Pelodiscus sinensis: one gene and its partner. The protein of the gene in region 1 interacts with the protein of each later gene in a pairwise test. Links are inferred from orthologs where the notes say so. Each region holds a gene or a part of one and is shown on either strand. Other genes may lie near its edges.

Evidence for each region.
Region 2: the proteins of SSX2IP (region 1) and SHFL interact in binary tests that used the Homo sapiens proteins (3 or more experiments, as listed by UniProt). The two-hybrid records come from large-scale screens. The link is inferred for Pelodiscus sinensis from reciprocal best matches to the Homo sapiens genes SSX2IP and SHFL.

What each region holds. Positions count from the first base shown.
Region 1 is NC_134719.1:29,850,438-29,860,628, reverse strand, and holds the start of SSX2IP (afadin- and alpha-actinin-binding protein), read left to right. Parts: upstream 1-6,415; 5' UTR 6,416-6,573; intron 6,574-10,191. UniProt on the Homo sapiens protein: Belongs to an adhesion system, which plays a role in the organization of homotypic, interneuronal and heterotypic cell-cell adherens junctions (AJs).
Region 2 is NC_134729.1:14,962,418-14,971,967, reverse strand, and holds the start of SHFL (shiftless antiviral inhibitor of ribosomal frameshifting protein), read right to left. Parts: upstream 4,280-9,550; 5' UTR 3,971-4,279; coding exon 3,944-3,970; intron 2,574-3,943; coding exon 2,432-2,573; intron 2,334-2,431; coding exon 2,284-2,333; intron 2,083-2,283; coding exon 2,038-2,082; intron 1,856-2,037; coding exon 1,817-1,855; intron 359-1,816; coding exon 203-358; intron 137-202; coding exon 33-136; intron 1-32.

The DNA of each region.
Region 1 (10,191 bases):
TGTGATGAAGTGTAGTACAGCTAAATCTCTGGCAGGAAAGCCAAGAAGACTCCTTTTCTTGAGGGATTCCTTCCTTCCTGACTGTGGAGCCTCACCCTGCCTTCTCTGAATAAATCATCTCCAGCATTGTGCAGATCGTTGCTAAAAATGCAAATGTATAAAAGAAGCATGTTGCCTTCCTCACATTAGAAACACAGAAAAATAATCAGTTTGCTAAACTCAGAGAATAACCCCTAATGTAAAGAGGACGTTGCCAACAAAGTAGCATAAGCTACTCCATGTTAACCTTTTCAGTTGTACTGCATGATGTTGCTTTCACATCTTTGATACTAAAGTGTTCCTAGTGGTATGATTAATCCTGTACACCACATATTAAGTTTATTTTTTTCCTCTCAAAATTCACTCCTGCAGTACCCACCTGTGCTCTTGTAAACTAGTTTTTGACTGGTTAGATTCCTCCCCATCAAATGATTTCTATGTTTTGTTTTGTTTTTGTTTTGTTTTTGCTTTTTGAGTCAGTGACAATTTGTGTTGGATTCTTGGACAGAAATACTTTCCCCAAAAGCCATACATAAAGAGGGTACTGAACACAGTCAATATAGGTTAAGGGTAGAAGAAACATTGCCAAAGACAGTTTAAGAGTAACTAGAAATGAAGATATCTGAAAAAAGAAAAGTTGGGTGTGTTAAAAAGAGAGAGAAAATTATATGTTTCTTCACCGAATTAGTGTCTAGTTTTGGTCATCTCAACTTCAGAAAACTAGTGCAGAATCATGAAAAATATATCAAAGATTATTAGAGGCTATCACAAGATTTATGTAAAATAAAGTATAAAAATGAGGATTATTCAACCTGGAAAGAATTCAAGAGAAGATAAATGAAGTATTTAAAATAAGGGCCATATTACTGATTAGTTCCTCTTGTTCTCTGCTCAAAAGTATGAGAACAAGAGACTTCAAATGAAATTAAAGATCAGCAAATTTAGTATAAATAAAATTAAGAACTGAGATATTACTGAATGCACATGGTATAGAATTCAAAGTTCTTAGATATCAAAAGAATTATCTTACAAAATATCTTTGATAGATTAAGTCCTTCTCAAATACTGTGGGTTGAGTTCTATAATTATCAGCATTTTAGTTTTGCAAGCTATGACAACAAAGGTAACCAAAATGTGCTTCAGGATACAAGATATAAAATGAAGCCTGGAAGGAATGCCTTTCTCTGCTATGTACAGCACTGCACAGCTGGTAAGATACATTTTAGGTAAATTACAGCTTCTTCTGACATAGTAGGGTCCCAGCTGCAAGCAGGATACTAGAATAGCTGGACCAATGATCTGATTTGGGAATGCTTGTTTTTATAACCAAATTGCTGAAATAACTCTTAAGAGACGAGAGGATAGCTATCACTATTGTACTTAAACAGAAGCGTAAATTAAAAAAATATATATTTGGTATTACATTAGATTAGGACAGTGTTAAAGAAGATAAAATTTTGGGTCAATCACATTTAGGTCAGGTGTGGACAAAGAACAACTTGTGAACCATATGTAGCCTGCAAGTATATTGGTAACATAGGATTGAATGATAGTACATGGGAATAGAAAAAGTGTCTTTGATTTGAACTCTCTCCTATTGTATTGATTGCATAGTCATTCTAGATTAGTCAAGAACAAATCATGCCAAATCAACCTAATTTCCTTCCTTTCCTTCCTTCATTTACAGGCCTAATGGAAGATGTAGATATGATATATTTTGATTGTAGTGAGGTTTGACTTAGTTCCACGACATTTGCATAAGTAAACTTGAAAAATGTGGTCTAGATGAAATTACTATAAAGTGGACAAAAAACTGGTTGAAAGACCACACTCAAAAAATATTAATGGTTTGCTGATGTACTGAGTGCAGATAGATAATGGGTTCCTGCAAGCATCTGTCCCTGGTCCAGCATTATTCAATATATTTCATTAATGGCATAGATAATAGAGTGGACAGTATCTTCATAAAATTTGCAGATGACACTTAGGCTATGTCTACACCGTACCTGTTTTGCGGAAGAGGAAATGCAAATGGGGTGCTCATTTGCATATCTCATGATCTCATTTGCATATTCTCTGCAGATCCTTTTTGCAGAAGAGGTTTTTGTGATAAAAAGCCCTGTGTAGACAGGGCCATTTGTTTGGGGGGGGGGGAGGGGGGGAAACCCTTTTGCACAAGAGCCTGTATACCTCATTTTTTGAGGAATAAGGGCTTGTGCACAAAAGGGTTTTTTCCCCCCCGACAAATGGCCCCGTCTACACAGGGCTTTTTATTGCAAAAACCTCTTCCGCAAAAAGGATCAGAAGAGGATATGCAAATGAGCACAAGATATGCAAATGAGCACTCAATTTGCATTCTCTGTTCCGCAAAAAATGCACAGTGTAGACATAGCCTCAGAGTGAGAGGAGGTGCTAGGATTTTTGAAGACAGGATTAGAAGAATTGGCCTGAAATCACATGATGAAATTCAATAAGACAAGTGCAAAATACTTAGGAAAAATTAAATGCAGGAATGAGGAATAACTGTGTTGGTGGTAATACTGCTGAAATGAATTGGTAGGTTATTGACAGGATCACAACCTGCATATGAGTCAATAACATGTTGCAGGTGAGAAAAAGTCTAATATTCTTCTATAGTATTAACAACAGTGTCTTCTTTTTACTATATATTTTAGAAAAGCTGTTAGTTCAAGAACTCCTTCTAAACGGTAAGAGCTAGGACCACCAATTTTGGTGTGCAGCTTCCTCTTATCATAACTTAAAGAAAAAGGTAAGGATTCGTTTGTGAAAAAACAATGGGAAGAGCCTGGAATTTGATTGTTTCTCATAAAATGGAACAAGAGGTGTCTAGTAGGAGGGAGCTATACCACGGACAGGGGCAACAAGGGGCCAGAGATGGGGACCGGGACAGCTATAACCCCATTGAGCCAGCAGGGTGGAAGGTGGCGAAAGGGACAGCTAGCTACTATATCAGGGGTCAGCAACCTTTCAGAGGTGAAGTGCTGAGATTTGACTTATTCACCTCTATGTACGGTCCGAGTGCTGGTGATACTTTTTTAAGTCATTGATAGTGCTACTTGTAGCAGTTTCATTAATAAAGAAAGATACAGATCTTACCTTTTAGTGCTGGGATTGGCAACCTTTCAGAAGCGGTGTATCAAAATTTAGCTTATTCACAGATCTGTGTGCCCGGGAGGGGGGGAGGCTGGGTACAGTGACTATATTTTCTGAACCAGTTGCAGCTAGGGAGAATGAAATTATGAAACAATTAAGCATTTTAACTTTCTCATATTAAGCTTATCAAACTTCATTTTAAATAAAGTAAAATATTATGTCCAACACAAAAGGTTTCTATGTTTTCTTTATTTATGGCGGGAGTGGGGAACCATTTTTGGGTCAGGGGTTACTGACCCACAGAAAAATCAGTTGGGGACCACACAAATGAGAAGCAAAAAAAAACCTCCTTCAAAACCCCCCAACCCTCACTGATGTGGCCCCCAACTGAGACACCTCACTGGCTAGTGCCCCAGCCTCACGGGGCGAGGGGAAGGGAAGGGATAGGGGGACTGAGATTCAGGGCTTCCCATAGACCAGATTTACTTTTCGGTGGTTCTGGAGTTAGTGGATTTTAGGGACCCCCTTAGACTCTGGGGTAAAGACAAAAATGAGAGGTACAGTGTATGAGACAGGGCTACCAGCAAGTAGGATAGGGATGGGTGCAGGATCTGGGAGGTAGGGTACAGAAGGTGGAGAGGTTGCAAGGTCTGAGTGGGAGGTAGGGTACAGAAGCAGGCTGGGAGTAGGGTGTCTGGCCAGGTGGAGGGAGCAGGAACAAGGGAGGGTGCAGCAGCAACGGTGGGTGCAGCAGCAACAGGGTGGGAGTGCCTGCCCAGGAGGGAGGGTGCAGGAACAAGGGAGGGAGTCGGAACAACTCAGGGGTACAGCGTTTTGAGGGGAGTGAGTGTGGGTGGGGTCTGGGCATGAGGGGACCCCTTACCCGGCTTTGCACCTCCGTGCAGCAATGGCTGTGGCCATACTATCCCAGGCCACTCCGAAGGAAGGCCCGGCTGTCACTGCCAGGGCCCATGTGGTGCAGGGCCAACCCCAGAGGCCCTATTGTTGTGGCCACATGGTCTGGGGCTGGCTCCAGAGACCCTGCTGCTGTGGCCACATGGTTTGGGGCCGGCCCCAGAGGCCGGAGGCGCTGCTTCCATACAATTCTGGATTGACCCTGGACCGCATGGCCACAACAGAAGCACCTCTGGTTCTGGCTGAGGGGCCACTGAGGAGCCTCAGCCCTGCTTCCTCCCACTGCAGCATAACCTGCTGCAGGCAGAAGGGAGTGTTCGCCAGTGGCTGTGCTGGGCTGGGGGAGGCTGAGCTTCCTCCTCTGTGCTGCTGCTGAAAATTGGCTTGCAAGCCATAAATGGCACACGTGCTGTAGGTTGCCGACCCCTGTACTATATCTATCTAATCTATCTATCTCATAGAGCTTGTCTGTGTTTCTATTTGTCTGTCCCCCAGCCAGTGGACATGGATCCATCCTCCAACTTTGTCTGCTGCAGCTGCAGGGGCCACGGACAAATGCTTCTCACTTGGCTGCAAGTTGCTGTGGTGACGGAGGGCTGGGATCGTCCTCTCTCCCCAGGGCAGCCAGCATACTGAACCCTTCATCCCCCAGCCCACTCCCAATAGCAATTTAAATGAAGAGCAAAACTCACTTAAGGACCCAAACAATGCTGGGTAAATCTTCTAGTATGTAAGATATGGAACATAAGTGTTCCACTGTATTTGGCACTGATGAGCAGGGATGATGTGTGAAGGGGGATAAGAGGATATGTGACCCTCAAAATATCCTGGACAGTAGGGGCAAGGGGCCAGTGCCTTTGATCAGCCTGGGAAACTAGCAAAGTTAGTACACCATCATTTAGGGCTAGGTGTTCCTTGCACGGTATCACGCATACACCACCTGCAGGCTGGTAATCAATCATACATTGGGTGTAATAAACTGATTAGCACTCAACTCTTTTTATGCCTTGATTTTTTAAAATAAGGGTTTTTATTTTATTTCTAAAAAGCTTAAGTATTAAGTAGATCTAGCCCTTATCAAACTCTGCCTCTACTACCCCTTAGGAAACAAAGGGCGGGCTCTCTTTTGATTAGAGTATCAGGCAGTGCTTTTGAGATCTCATGAGCCTTTTGTTATCTTAATCACCTTTGCCTCTTTATAAACAAACTCCCTGCAGCAAAGGCTGTGGCTGCTCTCACCTGCCTTTTAGAAGTCACACTCAGGGTTGCCAGGTGTCTGATTTTTAACTGGACAATCCAGTATTTGAGCTTTCTGTTCAGGAAACAAATTGGCTGTGTCTACACTGGGCCACTTATTCTGGAAAATCAGCCGCTTTTCCAGAATAAGCTGCGAGCTGTCTACACTGGCCCTTGAATTTCCGGAAAAGCAACGATGCTCTACTGTACAAAATCAGCCGCTATTCCGGAAAAACTATTCTGCTCCCGCTCGGGCATAAGTCCTTATTCCAGAACACTGTTCCGGAAAAGGGCCAGTGTAGACAGCCCAGTAGTCTTTTCTGGAAAAAAGCCCCGATCGCGAAAATGACGCTCGGGGCTCTTTTCCGGAAAAGCGCGTCTACATTGGCCACGGATGCTTTTCCGGAAAAAGGGCTTTTCCAGAAAAGCAGCCTGCCAATGTAGACGCTCCTTTTCCGGAAATACTTATAACGAAAACTATTCTGTTTTAAGCAGTTCCGGAAATTCATGCCAGTGTAGACACAGCCATTGAGAAAATATCCATGTCCGGTAGTTTCTAAATAAGATGTAAGGTAGATTGTGCCGTAATGTCAAGTGTGTCCGGTATTTCTGACTCTACCTGGCACCCGTAAGTGTTGCAGTTAAGGTCTCTCTGGGGGGTGGGGGGGAGGGACTAGGGGGAGCAGACCCGGGTTCGAAAGGCGGGGTACAGCGCCCCCTCCCTGGCTGGCGAAGCAACGTTTCTTTCCGCCCGAGGAGGGAGACCCGCACCTCCCCCTCCAGTCCCATTGAGCCCCCCCGCTTCCCCCAGCCTGGCGAAGCGGCCGTTGCCTCCCGCATCCGCCCGTTTGGCTACGCGGCGCAAGGCAGCAGCGGTTCCCGGTTGCTGACGAGCCGCTGCAGGGACAGCCGGGCCGCGCGCAGAAGCCCACGAGCCACTCGCGCAGCCCAGCCCCCTTCGCAGGCGTGTCCCGGCGCAAGTTCCCGAGCGGCCCCGGCCCGAGCGCCGCGAAGGGCCCCCAGGCGGCGGAGGAAGAGGAGGTGGGTGCTGCGGCTCTCTGGCCCCTGGGCACAGGCGCTTGTTGAAGGTGTCCTAGCAACAGCCCGGCCAATGGGAGCAGCGCCGTGCCGTGAGGGGGCGGGGCGATTAACCCTGCGGGGCCCGAGCAGGGCTGGACTGAGTGCGGCGGGGCTGCTGGGCTCGCTCGGGAGTCGACTGCCTCCCCCGCCCCCTCCACGGCGGCAGCAGCAGCAGGTGGTGCCATGCGGGTGAGTTGAGTCCGCGCCCGGCCCTGGGCTGCTCGAGTTGAGGCGTTGGGGCCTCTGCCTGGCGCCGTTCGCCTCGCTGAGCCGCCCGCCGCGCTAGGAGCCGCGGGGCTGCGAGCGGAGAACGGCGCTGGCGGGCGCACGCAGAGGGAGGGGGGACCCGGCACACACGGGCGGGGGGACTCGCGGGGGTGACTTCGATACACACGGGAGGAGACGTTTGGCCGGGGGGGGGGGGGACTTGCGCACAGGTGGGCGAGAGAATTGGGGGGGAACTTGAGCATACACGGGAGGACGGGGGTCGGGCACACTCGGAGGGGGAGTTGGCGGGGGGGACTCGCACACACGGGAGGGGGAGCTGGCGGGGGGGGACTCGCACACACACGGGAGGGGGAGCTGGCGGGGGGGGACTCGCGCACACACGGGAGGGGGAGCTGGCGGGGGGGGACTCGCGCACACACGGGAGGGGGAGCTGGCGGGGGGGGACTCGCGCACACACGGGAGGGGGAGCTGGCGGGGGGGGGACTCGCGCACACACGGGAGGGGGAGCTGGCGGGGGGGACTCGCGCACACACGGGAGGGGGAGCTGGCGGGGGGACTCGCGCACACACGGGAGGGGGAGCTGGCGGGGGGGACTCGCACACACACGGGAGGGGGAGCTGGCGGGGGGGACTCGCGCACACACGGGAGGGGGAGCTGGCGGGGGGGGACTCGCACACACACGGGAGGGGGAGCTGGCGCGGGGGGGACTCGCGCACACACACGGGAGGGGGAGCTGGCGGGGGGGGGACTCGCGCACACACGGGAGGGGGAACTGGTGGGGAGTAGGATGGAGGAATGTTTATGTAACTGCCATGGGTGTGTTACACTGACACACACCCAGGGGATGAGGTGATGGTGGGGGGGGGAGAGACTCTAACGCACACAGGGTGGAGTTGGGGAGGGACGGAAAGGGGAGACCCTAGCACATACCTGGGAGCAGTCAGAGGGGTGGAGGAATGTTTGTGCACGTGAGATGGGGGAAATGGGCATGGGGGGGGGACACTTGTGCATACCTGAGGGGGCAGTTGGTAGAGGGTCCATTTGCACAGACATGGGCACGGGTGCTGGAACAATGTATATATTGGGTGTGCTGAAAGCCAGTAACCAAACTGTAAACATATACATTGGAAAGCATTTCAAGCCAAGGGGTGTAAAAGCTTGCCTAGTTCCAGCACTTGTGCATACTGGAGGAACATGCAGTTGGGGTGGTGCTCTTACATGCACCTGCTGCTTGCCAGTTTTGGTTGGATGTATTCCTGGAGATTTCATCACATGACAATGTTTCATTAAAGATTTAATTCCTGGAGATTCCAGAACGCTCTTGGAGGAGCACATCCAGTATTCCCAGTGTTTTTTTCCCCATTCGTGTGTGGAATTAATGTTGCTCTATAGATGTGCACCACCATTAGCTACACATGCTGCTGGATGTGGACACTCTACTAATCAGTTGGGTGGCTCTGAATCTTTATTGGGTGGCCTTTTGGGGAACACTCTGCACATCATACACAAATGGCTGAGGGAATGCTTGTGCATATACTGGGGGAGGGGGAGGAATATCAGATGGCAGGGGTTAGGAGGACACAGAGAGAGAGAGAGAGAGCGCGAGCGGGAGTTGGAAGAAGCTCATGGGGATGCTTCTGTATGGGGGGAGGGTGGTATATAGCAAGGGGACACAGTCGTGTACCCACCGGTGATCGGGTTAGTAGATGGCAGGGGATGCTTGCACATTCACAGGGGGGAGTTGACAGACATTTGGGGTGATACACACTAAAGGGAGCAAATTGGCAGGCAGTAAGGGGAGGTGCTGAGGAGTTTGTGGGTGGTAGGAGGCACCCATGCATGCCCTAGGTGGAGCAAGGGAGTTTGAAGGTTGGGGGAGGTGCACATGTCCATGCTATGGGTGCAGTTTGTAGACAGTAGGAGAGTGGGAGGAACATGCATGTGCACATGGGGAGGAGGAATTTGCGGCAGGTGTGATTATGGGGAGATTGCAGGTTGTGGAGGCTTGGGAGGGATGAGCCTGCATACATTTGGGGGAAATTGCAGATGATTGTGATTGGGATGATGTTCACGTATACATACTGAGGGAGTTTGCAGAAGGTAGGTGCTGATGGAATTGCATACATATAGGAGAGATTGTAGGTAGTGAGGGTTAGAGATATGTGCCCGTGTACATTTGGGGGCAGGTGGTGGAAGCAGGGGAAAGTGGGTACATATATGGAAAAATTATAGATGGTGATGGGGACATGCATGCAAACAGCGAGATGTTTGCAATTGGTGCAGTTGCGCTTGTGCTCTTGGGGAATTTGCAGGTGGTTAGAGGGAGTTCATATGTGATGACAACTTGGGAGAAATGTGTGCATGGGGGAGGGGAATTTGCAGGCAGGAGGAATATGCCTACTCCTGCTGGGGCAGTGGGGATGCATGTGGAGTGAGGACACATGGAGAGAGTTTGCAGGCATTTGGGGGTTCATAGTCTGTGTAGGGGGAGGGTCCTTGTAAACTGTGTTCAAACGCAGTATTTTAATTACTTTGGGAATTAAGCTGTGTCTACACTTGAAAAAAATTGAGGCGTTAACCTCACCCCCTCTTTGCCCTGAAAGACACAAGTTTTTCTGGGACAAGTGTTCATGAGAATCTGCTAACACAGGGTGGTGGGACATGAGAACTGATCCACGCAAGTGAGAAGCAAGAAAAAAAGAAAAGCAATCCCCCTCCCCCCCCCCAAAAAAAAACCAAAACAAAGCAAAAAAAACCCGGCAACCCTCATTGACCTGGCCCATCTGGGAAGCAGGAAAAAATATACTCCCTTCACTCTTAGCCGCAGCCCACGGGAAGGAGTGGGGGAGGTGCCAGGACTGGATTAATTCTTCTGGCGTTCCTGGGCTAGTGGATTCTGTAAGCCCACCTACCCCCAGGCTCTGGGTGGGGCCAAAAATTAGGGATTCAGTGTGCAGGAGGAGGCTACCAAGGAGTGGTGGTGTGGGTGCAGGGTCTAGGAGGGAGGGTGCAGGAATGGGCTGGGGGTAGGGTTGCAGGGTCTAGATGGGAAGGGTTGCAGGAACAGGGTGAGGGGTATGGGGTCTTGGAGGAAGGATGCAGGAACAGGCTGGGGGTTCATGGTCTGGGCGCGGCGCGGCGGGGGGGGGGGGGAAGGGATGTGGATGTCTACATGTTGCAGCTCCTAGGGTGGGTGAAAAGGGGTCTGTGTGGCTCTGTGCATTGCAGGCAGTGCTTTCCTGCAGCATGCAGAGCTGCTTCCTTGTCTCTGCCCGGCAGAGCCCACAGGCCCAATCCAGCCTGTGGCTTGCTTTGATTGGGCCTGCTCCCCTCTCCCTTCTGCAACACAGGCTGGTCAGCGCTGGAACGCCAGCTATATCTGTGCTTTAAACTTTTAAGTGTAGACAAAGCCTAAGTGCTGCATGCCCAACTTCTATATCCCTCTCTGTCAGTCTCATTTGGAAGCATGGTGGAGTGGTAAAGACACATTCTGTTGTGTGCAATTTCTCAAGAGCAACATTTTGTTGATGCTTTAGGATTCAAACGACATCTACTGTCAGTGAACATCTTGTAAATCTT
Region 2 (9,550 bases), on another chromosome or scaffold:
TGCCTGGGCGCCCCCTGCCCCCGGCCCCTCACCTGAAGCTGCGGTTGCAGGAGGGGCAGTGGAACTCGGCCGTGCCCCACATCTTGTCGTAGGGCACCGGGTCGTAGCGCCTCCTGCACAGCCGGCACCGGGACACCTGCGGGGGCGCCAGAGAGTGAGCGGCCCGGCCCCGGCACCCCCCCCCCTCTCCCCCCCGCCGTACCTGCTTCCGCTGGGGCACCCGGCGCCACCAGGCGCTGTCGCAGGGCTGGCAGGCGAACTGGCGCTCGGCCCAGGGCAGGAGGTTGTGGCTGGCGTGGTCCAACATGCGCAGGTTCCGCTCGGTCAGGGGCAGCACCCGCAGCTGCCGGGCTATGGCCTGGGGGGAGGTCGTCTGTGTTCTCCTCACTGACTCCTGGCCCTCCCCCCACCTGCTTCACCGAGCTGGCCAGGGACAGGCTCCCTCGGGTCGACCGGGGTCTAGGGGGCCCGGCCCGACGAGGCCCTGAGCTCGGCCGGGGTCTGGGGGGGGGGCCGAGCCCGACGGGGCCCTGAGCTCGGCCGGGGTCCGGGGGGGGGGGCCCGGCCCGACAGGCCCTGAGCTCGGCCGGGGTCTGGGGGGGGGCCCGGCCAGACGGGGCCCTGAGCTCGGCCGGGGTCTGGGGGGGGGGCCCGGCCAGACGGGGCCCTGAGCTCGGCCGGGGGGGGGGGGGCCCGGCCCGACGAGGCTCTGAGCTCAGCTGGGGTCTGGGGGGGGGGGCCCGGCCAGACGAGGCTCTGAGCTCGGCTGGGGTCTGGGGGGGGGGGGCCCGGCCAGACGAGGCTCTGAGCTCGGCCGGGGTCTGGGGGGGGGGCCCGGCCAGACGGGGCCCTGAGCTCGGCCGGGCTCTGGGGGGGGCCCGGCCAGACGGGGCCCTGAGCTCGGCCGGGGTCTGGGGGGGGCCCGGCCAGACGGGGCCCTGAGCTCGGCCGGGGTCTGGGGGGGGCCCCGGCCAGACGGGGCCCTGAGCTCGGCCGGGGTCTGGGGGGGGGGGCCCGGCCAGACGGGGCCCTGAGCTCAGCTGGGGTCTGGGGGGGGGCCCGGCCAGACGGGGCCCTGAGCTCGGCCGGGGTCTGGGGGGGGGGGCCCGGCCAGACGGGGCCCTGAGCTCGGCCGGGGTCTGGGGGGGGGCCCGGCCAGACGGGGCCCTGAGCTCGGCCGGGGTCTGGGGGGGGGGCCCGGCCAGACGGGGCCCTGAGCTCGGCCGGGGTCTGGGGGGGGGCCCGGCCAGACGGGGCCCTGAGCTCGGCCGGGGTCTGGGGGGGGGGCCCGGCCAGACGGGGCCCTGAGCTCAGCTGGGGTCTGGGGGGGGGGCCCGGCCAGACGGGGCCCTGAGCTCGGCCGGGGTCTGGGGGGGGGGCCCGGCCAGACGGGGCCCTGAGCTCGGCCGGGGTCTGGGGGGGGGCCCGGCCAGACGGGGCCCTGAGCTCGGCCGGGGTCTGGGGGGGGGCCCGGCCAGACGGGGCCCTGAGCTCGGCCGGGGTCTGGGGGGGGCCCGGCCAGACGGGGCCCTGAGCTCGGCCGGGGTCTGGGGGGGGCCCGGCCAGACGGGGCCCTGAGCTCGGCCGGGGTCTGGGGGGGGCCCGGCCAGACGGGGCCCTGAGCTCAGCCGGGGTCTGGGGGGGGCCCGACCCGACGGGGCCCTGATGTTGGCTGGGGTCCTGGGGGGGGGGGCCGAGCCCGACGGGGCCCTGAGCTCGGCCGGGGGTCTCTATTCGCCATTGTGGGAGCTGCGGAGGGCAAGATCTGCCAGGAACAGGGAGCTAAGGCTCCGCTCCTTGGGCCTGGCCCCCTCACCTTGATGTCCTGGTCGTTCTCACAGTCCTGGCTGGATTTCTGCACAGGGAGGGACAGCAATAAAAGGAGAATGCAAATAACCAGACGTGTACGAATAACGACACTCAGGGCTGGGACCTCGTGCCAGGACAGGCGGGCACCCCCTCCCCCAATGCCAGGCGCCCTCCTCCAGCCAGGGACAGACACAGACCACGCACACGTACCCAGGCAGACGCGCTCACCTGTTTCTGCTGCTCCTCTTCTTGCTTCAGTTTCTCCACCACGCTCTAGGGGAAGCGAGAGGAACCAGGCTGGAGAGGGAGGCTCAGCGAGACCCGGGTGACCCAGCCGCAGCCCAGCACCCCAAGGCGCAGACACCCGCCCTCCCGCCGTGAGCAGGGACCCCAGAGCCGTGCCTGGCGGTGACGGTGACGGCTGGGGCCCCCCAGCACAGCCCCATGCCCCCACCGCTGAGAACGGAGACCTACCTTCATCACAGGGTCCTGCTGCAGGGCCCGGCGCTCCTCAGGGTCCATGTCTAGGGCAGGAGAGACCCTGGTTACCCCCAGCCTCTCCGCCCAGCCTGCCCCAGCATCTCGCCCCCCGCCCCGGCCCACGGGCTGCGCCCGCACTCACCCTCCAGCTGCTCCCTGCAGAGCACGATGACCTTGCAGACCATGGCGTGGTCGTTGCAGTACCGACCCATCAGCAGCACGGCCTGCTCCACGCTCACCTGCCCATAGAACTTCTCCCGCAGCCGCCGCACGCTCTTCTCCAGCTGCCAGGCGAGCCCACCTTACACAGCCGGCCCCCCCGGCCTCCCGGGGACACTGCAGGGCCCCGCTCAGCCCTGGGAGGGGCTCTGCCCAGGAGCCCGTCTGCTGAGCACAAGGGGGGCCCCGGGGCTGGGCCTGGGTTCATCCGCCCCCCCGCCTGGCCCAGGGAGGTGGCTGTTTCTGGGCCCTTCCCACCTCTCACCTGCCCTGGTATGTGGCGGGAAAGATGCCGCAGGACAGAGCAGATGCCAGCAGGATGGGGGGGCCTGAAACCTCCCTCGGGCTGCCAGCCTGGGCTCACGACTCCCCCCGCGGATCCGCAAGGCGCCTGCTGGCTCTGCCGGCTGGGCCCGTGGTCACAGGCTCCCTGCCCAGGCCAGCGCAGGCCAGAGTCCGAGGGCCCCGGAAGCACCAGCCGGACAACGGCTCCGTCACATGCCAGGAACCAGTGGGCCTTGCGCAAACCCCTGGCTGGGACGGCCGGGGGCCAGACCCACAGGGCTCTTAGCTCGGCCCCGCGGGTCCATTCTGGGGGGCAGGCGCCCTCCAGCCGGGGACTCCCCCAGAGAGCCGGAGCTCTGCGGGCGCCCCACACTGGCCCAGGCAGGGACCGTCCAAAGACGTGGCGGGCGGGCACGTGAGGCTCCAGCAGGGCCGAGCGCCCCCCCATGCTCCCAGCACCGGGGGGCCGGCGGGGAAGGGAGGGAGGGAGGAGGCCAAAGTCCTTGAGCCCTGGCCCAGTGCTGGCTGCTCAGGCCACCCGCTCACCAGTGGGGCCCATGCGCCCGGCTGGGCTCTCAGCGCCCCAGGCGGCTCTAGGCCTGGCAGAGGCGGGGGGGGGGGGCGATGCCCTAGGCAAGTGGGGCAGCCAAGTCCTGCTCCAGGGCTCGTCCCTACCCTCCTGGCGCTGCCCCCCATCTGCCCCATGGCCCCGCCCCGGCACACCCTTCCTCTGCCCCATGGCCCTGCCCCAGCACCCCCCTCTGCCCCATGGAACCTCCCCTCGCCCGCCCCCCTCCTCTGCCTCAGCACCCCCCTCCTCTGCCCCATGGAACCTCCCCTCGCCCGCCCCGCCCCCCTCCTCTGCCTCAGCACCCCCCTCCTCTGCCCCATGGAACCTCCCCTCGCCCGCCCCGCCCCCCTCCTCTGCCTCAGCACCCCCCTCCTCTGCCCCATGGAACCTCCCCTCGCCCGCCCCGCCCCCCTCCTCTGCCCCATGGAACCTCCCCTCGCCCGCCCCGCCCCCTCCTCTGTCTCAGCACCCCCCTCCTCTGCCCCATGGAACCTCCCCTCGCCCGCCCCGCCCCCCTCCTCTGCCCCATGGCCCCTCCCCCCGGCGCACCCCTCTGCCGCGGCGCCCCCCGCCCCGTACCTCCACCGCCGCTCTCCGGTGCTCCATGGCCCCCGGCGCCCGCCCTGCGTCGGCTCCTGCGCCCGGACTCGCTCCGCCCCGCCGGCCGCTTTCGCTTTCGCCCGCCGGGCGGCTCCTCCCCCGGGGCGCAGCGAGCTCCGGGCGCCCCTGGCCCGAGGGGACCGGGGAGGGCGCGGGGCGGGGACGCACCTGGGGAGGCTCCGGCCCCTGCCCCGTCCCAGCGGGCGGGGCTCCCTCGGCAGGGAGCAGGGCGGCCAGGTCCCTCCCTGCTCCGCCAGCACCTCCCGTCCGGGGTCCGTCAGCGCAGGGCCCTGGGGTCTGCCCCGTGATCAGCTGCCTCGAGCCCAGAGCTGCGCCCCACGGGGACAGGGGCAGGGGCAGGGGCAGGGGCCCGGGCGGAGCGGTTTGGCCCTGGGTCGCCCTGCAGTGTTCTCAGACCAGCCAGCTCCCCGGTTCTTTGGGCGCTGGAGGGGCAGCCCCAGTCCCTAGTGCCCGGCCCTTCTCCCGCCGGGCCCATCGCCCCAGGCCTCGGCGCCCTCACTGCAAAGGGCTTCGGCCTTATTGGCAAGCAGGCCAGGCGCAGGGAGCCCCCAGCCCCCAGCCCACAGGGCTCCATGCAGCTGGCCAGGTCCCAGCTGGTGTAAAGGGGTGCAGAGGCGTCGAGGGGCGGCACCTCTTTGTGCCAGGCGGGGGCTGTGTCCCTGACATCCACACGCAGCCCCTGCGGAGCCGGGTTCCTTGTTCCTGCGCCTTGGCAGGAAGGCCCGGCCCAGAAAGGGTGTTGCTCCTGATGGAGCTGGGGCGCTTGGTAGCAGCTGGGGCGCTGGCCTTTGGTTCCCATTCTGACTGGCCGAGGTCGAGTGGAGCCGGTCAGATTAACGGACGTGTTTGTTAGATGCAAACAGAATAAAGTCCAGAGCAGAGAAGATCGCCTCTGTGCCAAGTAAGGCCCAGTTCCACTCAGCCGGAAAAAACACCCTGAACCCAGTTCACTGGGAGAAAGGGTTTACATGGAAAAATTGGGAACATCTTAAGAGCATTTTACTAGATGTCCAAAAATTGAGTCAAGACAGAAAGTCACACTGGTTCAAAACCAACCAAACCCCACCCCTAACTTAAGGGGTAGTGAAAGTGGCTATGAAGAATCATATATAACAAATGGGAGTAAGGAGAAGTTTAGAGTAACAGATAGATATTAGAAGTTAGCAAGTGTAAAACATTGATAAAGGAAGCAAAAGGACACAAGGTAGAAGAACAGGGTTGGAAGAGACCTTAGAAGGTCATTTAGTCCAACACCCTGCTCAAAGCAGAGTCAACCCCAACTAAATTGTCCCAGCCAGGGCTTTGTCAAGTCGGGCATTAAAAACCTCTAGGGATGGAGATTCCACCATGTCCCTCATCAACCCATTCCAGTGCTTTACCGCCTTCCTAGACAATATCTCCTAATAGCCACCTAGACCTCCCCCGTTGCAACTTGAGCCCATTGCTCCTTGTTGTCATCTGCCCCCACTGAGGACAGCCCCTCGCCAGCCTCTGTGGGACCCCCCTTCAGGTAGCTGGAGGCTGCTCTCAAATCCCCCCTCACTCTTCTCTTTGGCAGACTCAATAAGCCCAAATCCCTCAGCCTCAGCTCTAAGGCTGTGTCTACACTGGTGAGTTTTTGCACAAAAACTTGCGGCACGTCCACACTACAAGTGCGTTCTTGTGCAAAAAAAGTACCGTAAATCGTAAGAACACGGGGCTTTTTGCACAAGACTTGCTCCTCTTTCTTTGAATAAGAATCCTGCAGTGTAGACGTAGCCTAGCCCATGTGCTCCAGCTCCTCAGCAGTTTGGTTGCCCTTCTCTGGCTCTCTCCAATGTGCCCGCATCCTTCCTGTAGTGGGGGGCCCAGAACTGCAACACGCCAGCTGTGGCTTCCCCAGAGCCAAATCAAGGGGACTCATCACTTCTCTAGATTGGCTGGCAATGCTCCTAACCCAGCCCAATGTGCGTTAGCCTTCTCGGCTACAAGGGACCCTGTTGACTCACATCCAGTGTCTCCTCCACTCTCCTCCCCAGATCCTTTTCTGCTGAACTTGAGAACTTGCTCCATGATTTCCCCAGGGACTGAGGTGAGACTGACTGGTCTGTAGTTCCCTGGATTCTCTTCCTTCCCTCTTATAAAGATGGGCTCTGCATTGGCCTTTCTCCAGTTTCCCAGGGATTCCCTTGATTGCCACGAGTTTTCAAAGCTAATGGCCAATGGCTCCACATCAGCCAACTCCCTCTGCACCCTCAGCAACGCCGGCCCAGAAGGCATATTTGAAGCGTGTGTGAAAGTAGAAAGAATTATACTGTAAGAGAAAGATGAATTGTACTGTAATAATTGAATAAGTTGAAGGAATTCTGTTTGTCTTTCAAGAGGAAGAAGAAAAGTATGTTAATGTTGATTGTAGGTATGCAGATCAAGGTGCTAGCCAATTTGGGCCTGAGTTTAACAGGAAAAGGAACATTAGGTGTTAGACAGAAAGCAATTCCAGATAATCAGGGAGATATAGCCAGGAGATTGCTGTGTGCTTGATATTGAAATGAAGATACTTAACCACACTAATAATGTGAAGTTTTGTCACCCTTTGATCTTGTTAACTTGGCCTTTTGACTGTATAAAATCAAGGGGTTTGAACCTTGTATGGTGCTCACATTTTCTGAATGCATTTTAGCAGAGCTTTGCTGAAATAAACAGAGCAGTCTGCCAAATCTGTGAGTCCTGTCTGACTTTGACAATTTGGAGGTTCTACCGAGATGGCAACCGTCTTCGCTGAGGCTGTGTGATCCCTGACCGTCTTGCAGGATGACCGTGGGAGCCGGCACCTGGGCATTTGGCCGGAGCGGTCCTCCGCCAGAACGGAAAGGTACACAGCCACAGCGAAGTCTACGCCATCGAACCTGTTGGTTCCCGCTCTGTTCTGGTAGGGATCCCGGGATCTAACATCAGGACTCTGGTCAGGTAATTATTTCTATGTTTTGTCCGGACTGAGGACTGTCTTGTCTCTGTGTCTATCCGTCTTCCCTGTGGTGTGAGTGAGTCTGGGAGCCATCCCTGTCCGGGGACTGGCTGACCAAGGGGGCTCAGGATGCGCAGGGGCTGTGCAGGGGGGGGCCCAGGATGTGCAGGGGGCCCAGGGTGGTCTGGGCACAGGGGCCGTGCAGGGCGCCCAGGGTGGTCTGGGCACAGGGGCCGTGCAGGGGGGCCCAGGATGTGCAGGGGCCATGCAGGGGGGGCCCAGGATGTGCAGGGGCCGTGCAGGGGGGGCCCAGGATGTGCAGGGGCCGTGCAGGGGGGGCCCAGGATGCGCAGGGGCCGTGCAGGGGGGGCTCAGGATGCTCAGGGGCCGTGCAGGGGGGGCCCAGGATGTGCAGGGGGCCCAGGGTGGTCTGGGCACAGGGGCCGTGCAGGGGGGCTCAGGATGCGCAGGGGCCGTGCAGGGGGCCCAGGATGCGCAGGGGCCGTGCAGGGGGGCTCAGGATGCGCAGGGGCTGTGCAGGGGGGGCCCAGGATGCGCAGGGGCCGTGCAGGGGGGGGCCCAGGATGCGCAGGGGCCGTGCAGGGGGGGCCCAGGATGCGCAGGGGCCGTGCAGGGGGCCCAGGATGCGCAGGGGCCGTGCAGGGGGGCCCAGGATGCGCAGGGGGCCGTGCAGGGGGCCCAGGATGCGCAGGGGCCGTGCAGGGGGGGCCCAGGATGCGCAGGGGCCGTGCAGGGGGGGCCCAGGATGCGCAGGGGCCGTGCAGGGGGCCCAGGATGCGCAGGGGCCGTGCAGGGGGGCTCAGGATGCGCAGGGGCTGTGCAGGGGGGGCCCAGGATGTGCAGGGGCCGTGCAGGGGGGCCCCAGGGTGGTCTGGGCGCAGGGGCCGTGCAGGGGGGCTCAGGATGCGCAGGGGCCGTGCAGGGGGGGCCCAGGATGCGCAGGGGGCCGTGCAGGGGGCCCAGGATGCGCAGGGGCCGTGCAGGGGGGGCCCAGGATGTGCAGGGGCCGTGCAGGGGGGGCCCAGGATGCGCAGGGGCCGTGCAGGGGGGGCCCAGGATGTGCAGGGGCCGTGCAGGGGGGGCCCAGGATGCGCAGGGGCCGTGCAGGGGGCCCAGGGTGTGCAGGGGCCGTGCAGGGGGCCCAGGATGCGCAGGGGCCGTGCAGGGGGCCCAGGATGCGCAGGGGCCGTGCAGGGGGGGCCCAGGATGCGCAGGGGCCGTGCAGGGGGCCAGGATGCGCAGGGGCCGTGCAGGGGGGGCCCAGGATGCGCAGGGGCCGTGCAGGGGGGGCCCAGGATGCGCAGGGGCCGTGCAGGGGGCCCAGGATGCGCAGGGGCCGTGCAGGGGGGGCCCAGGATGTGCAGGGGCCATGCAGAGGGCCCAGGATGCGCAGGGGCCGTGCAGGGGGGGCCCAGGATGCGCAGGGGCCGTGCAGGGGGGGGCCCAGGATGCGCAGGGGCCGTGCAGGGGGGGCCCAGGATGCGCAGGGGCCGTGCAGGGGGGCCCAGGATGCGCAGGGGCCGTGCAGGGGGGGCCCAGGATGTGCAGGGGCCGTGCAGGGGGCCCAGGATGCGCAGGGGCCGTGCAGGGGGGGCCCAGGATGCGCAGGGGCCGTGCAGGGGGCCCAGGATGCGCAGGGGCCGTGCAGGGGGGGGCCCAGGATGCGCAGGGGCCGTGCAGGGGGGCCCAGGATGCGCAGGGGCCGTGCAGGGGGCCCAGGATGCGCAGGGGCCGTGCAGGGGGCCCAGGATGCGCAGGGGCCGTGCAGGGGGCCCAGGATGCGCAGGGGCCGTGCAGGGGGCCCAGGATGCGCAGGGGCTGTGCAGGGGGGGCCCAGGATGCGCAGGGGCCGTGCAGGGGGCCCAGGATGCGCAGGGGCCGTGCAGGGGGGGCCCAGGATGTGCAGGGGCCGTGCAGGGGGGGCCCAGGATGCGCAGGGGCCGTGCAGGGGGGGCCCAGGATGCGCAGGGGCCGTGCAGGAGGCCCAGGATGCGCAGGGGCCGTGCAGGGGGGCCCAGGATGCGCAGGGGCCGTGCAGGGGGCCCAGGATGCGCAGGGGCCGTGCAGGAGGCCCAGGATGCGCAGGGGCCGTGCAGGGGGCCCAGGATGCGCAGGGGCCGTGCAGGGGGGGCCCAGGATGCGCAGGGGCCGTGCAGGGGGCCCAGGATGCGCAGGGGCCGTGCAGGGGGGGGCCCAGGATGCGCAGGGGCCGTTGCAGGGGGCCCAGGATGTGCAGGGGCCGTGCAGGGGGGGCCCAGGATGCGCAGGGGCCGTGCAGGGGGCCCAGGATGCGCAGGGGCCGTGCAGGGGGCCCAGGATGCGCAGGGGCCGTGCAGGGGGCCCAGGGTGTGCAGGGCCGTGCAGGGGGCCCAGGATGCGCAGGGGCCGTGCAGGGGGGCCCAGGGTGTGCAGGGGGCCGTGCAGGGGGCCCAGGATGCGCAGGGCCGTGCAGGGGGCCCAGGGTGTGCAGGGCCGTGCAGGGGGGCCCAGGATGCGCAGGGGCCGTGCAGGGGGCCCAGGATGCGCAGGGGCCGTGCAGGGGGGGCCCAGGATGCGCAGGGGCCGTGCAGGGGGCCCAGGGTGCGCAGGGGCCGTGCAGG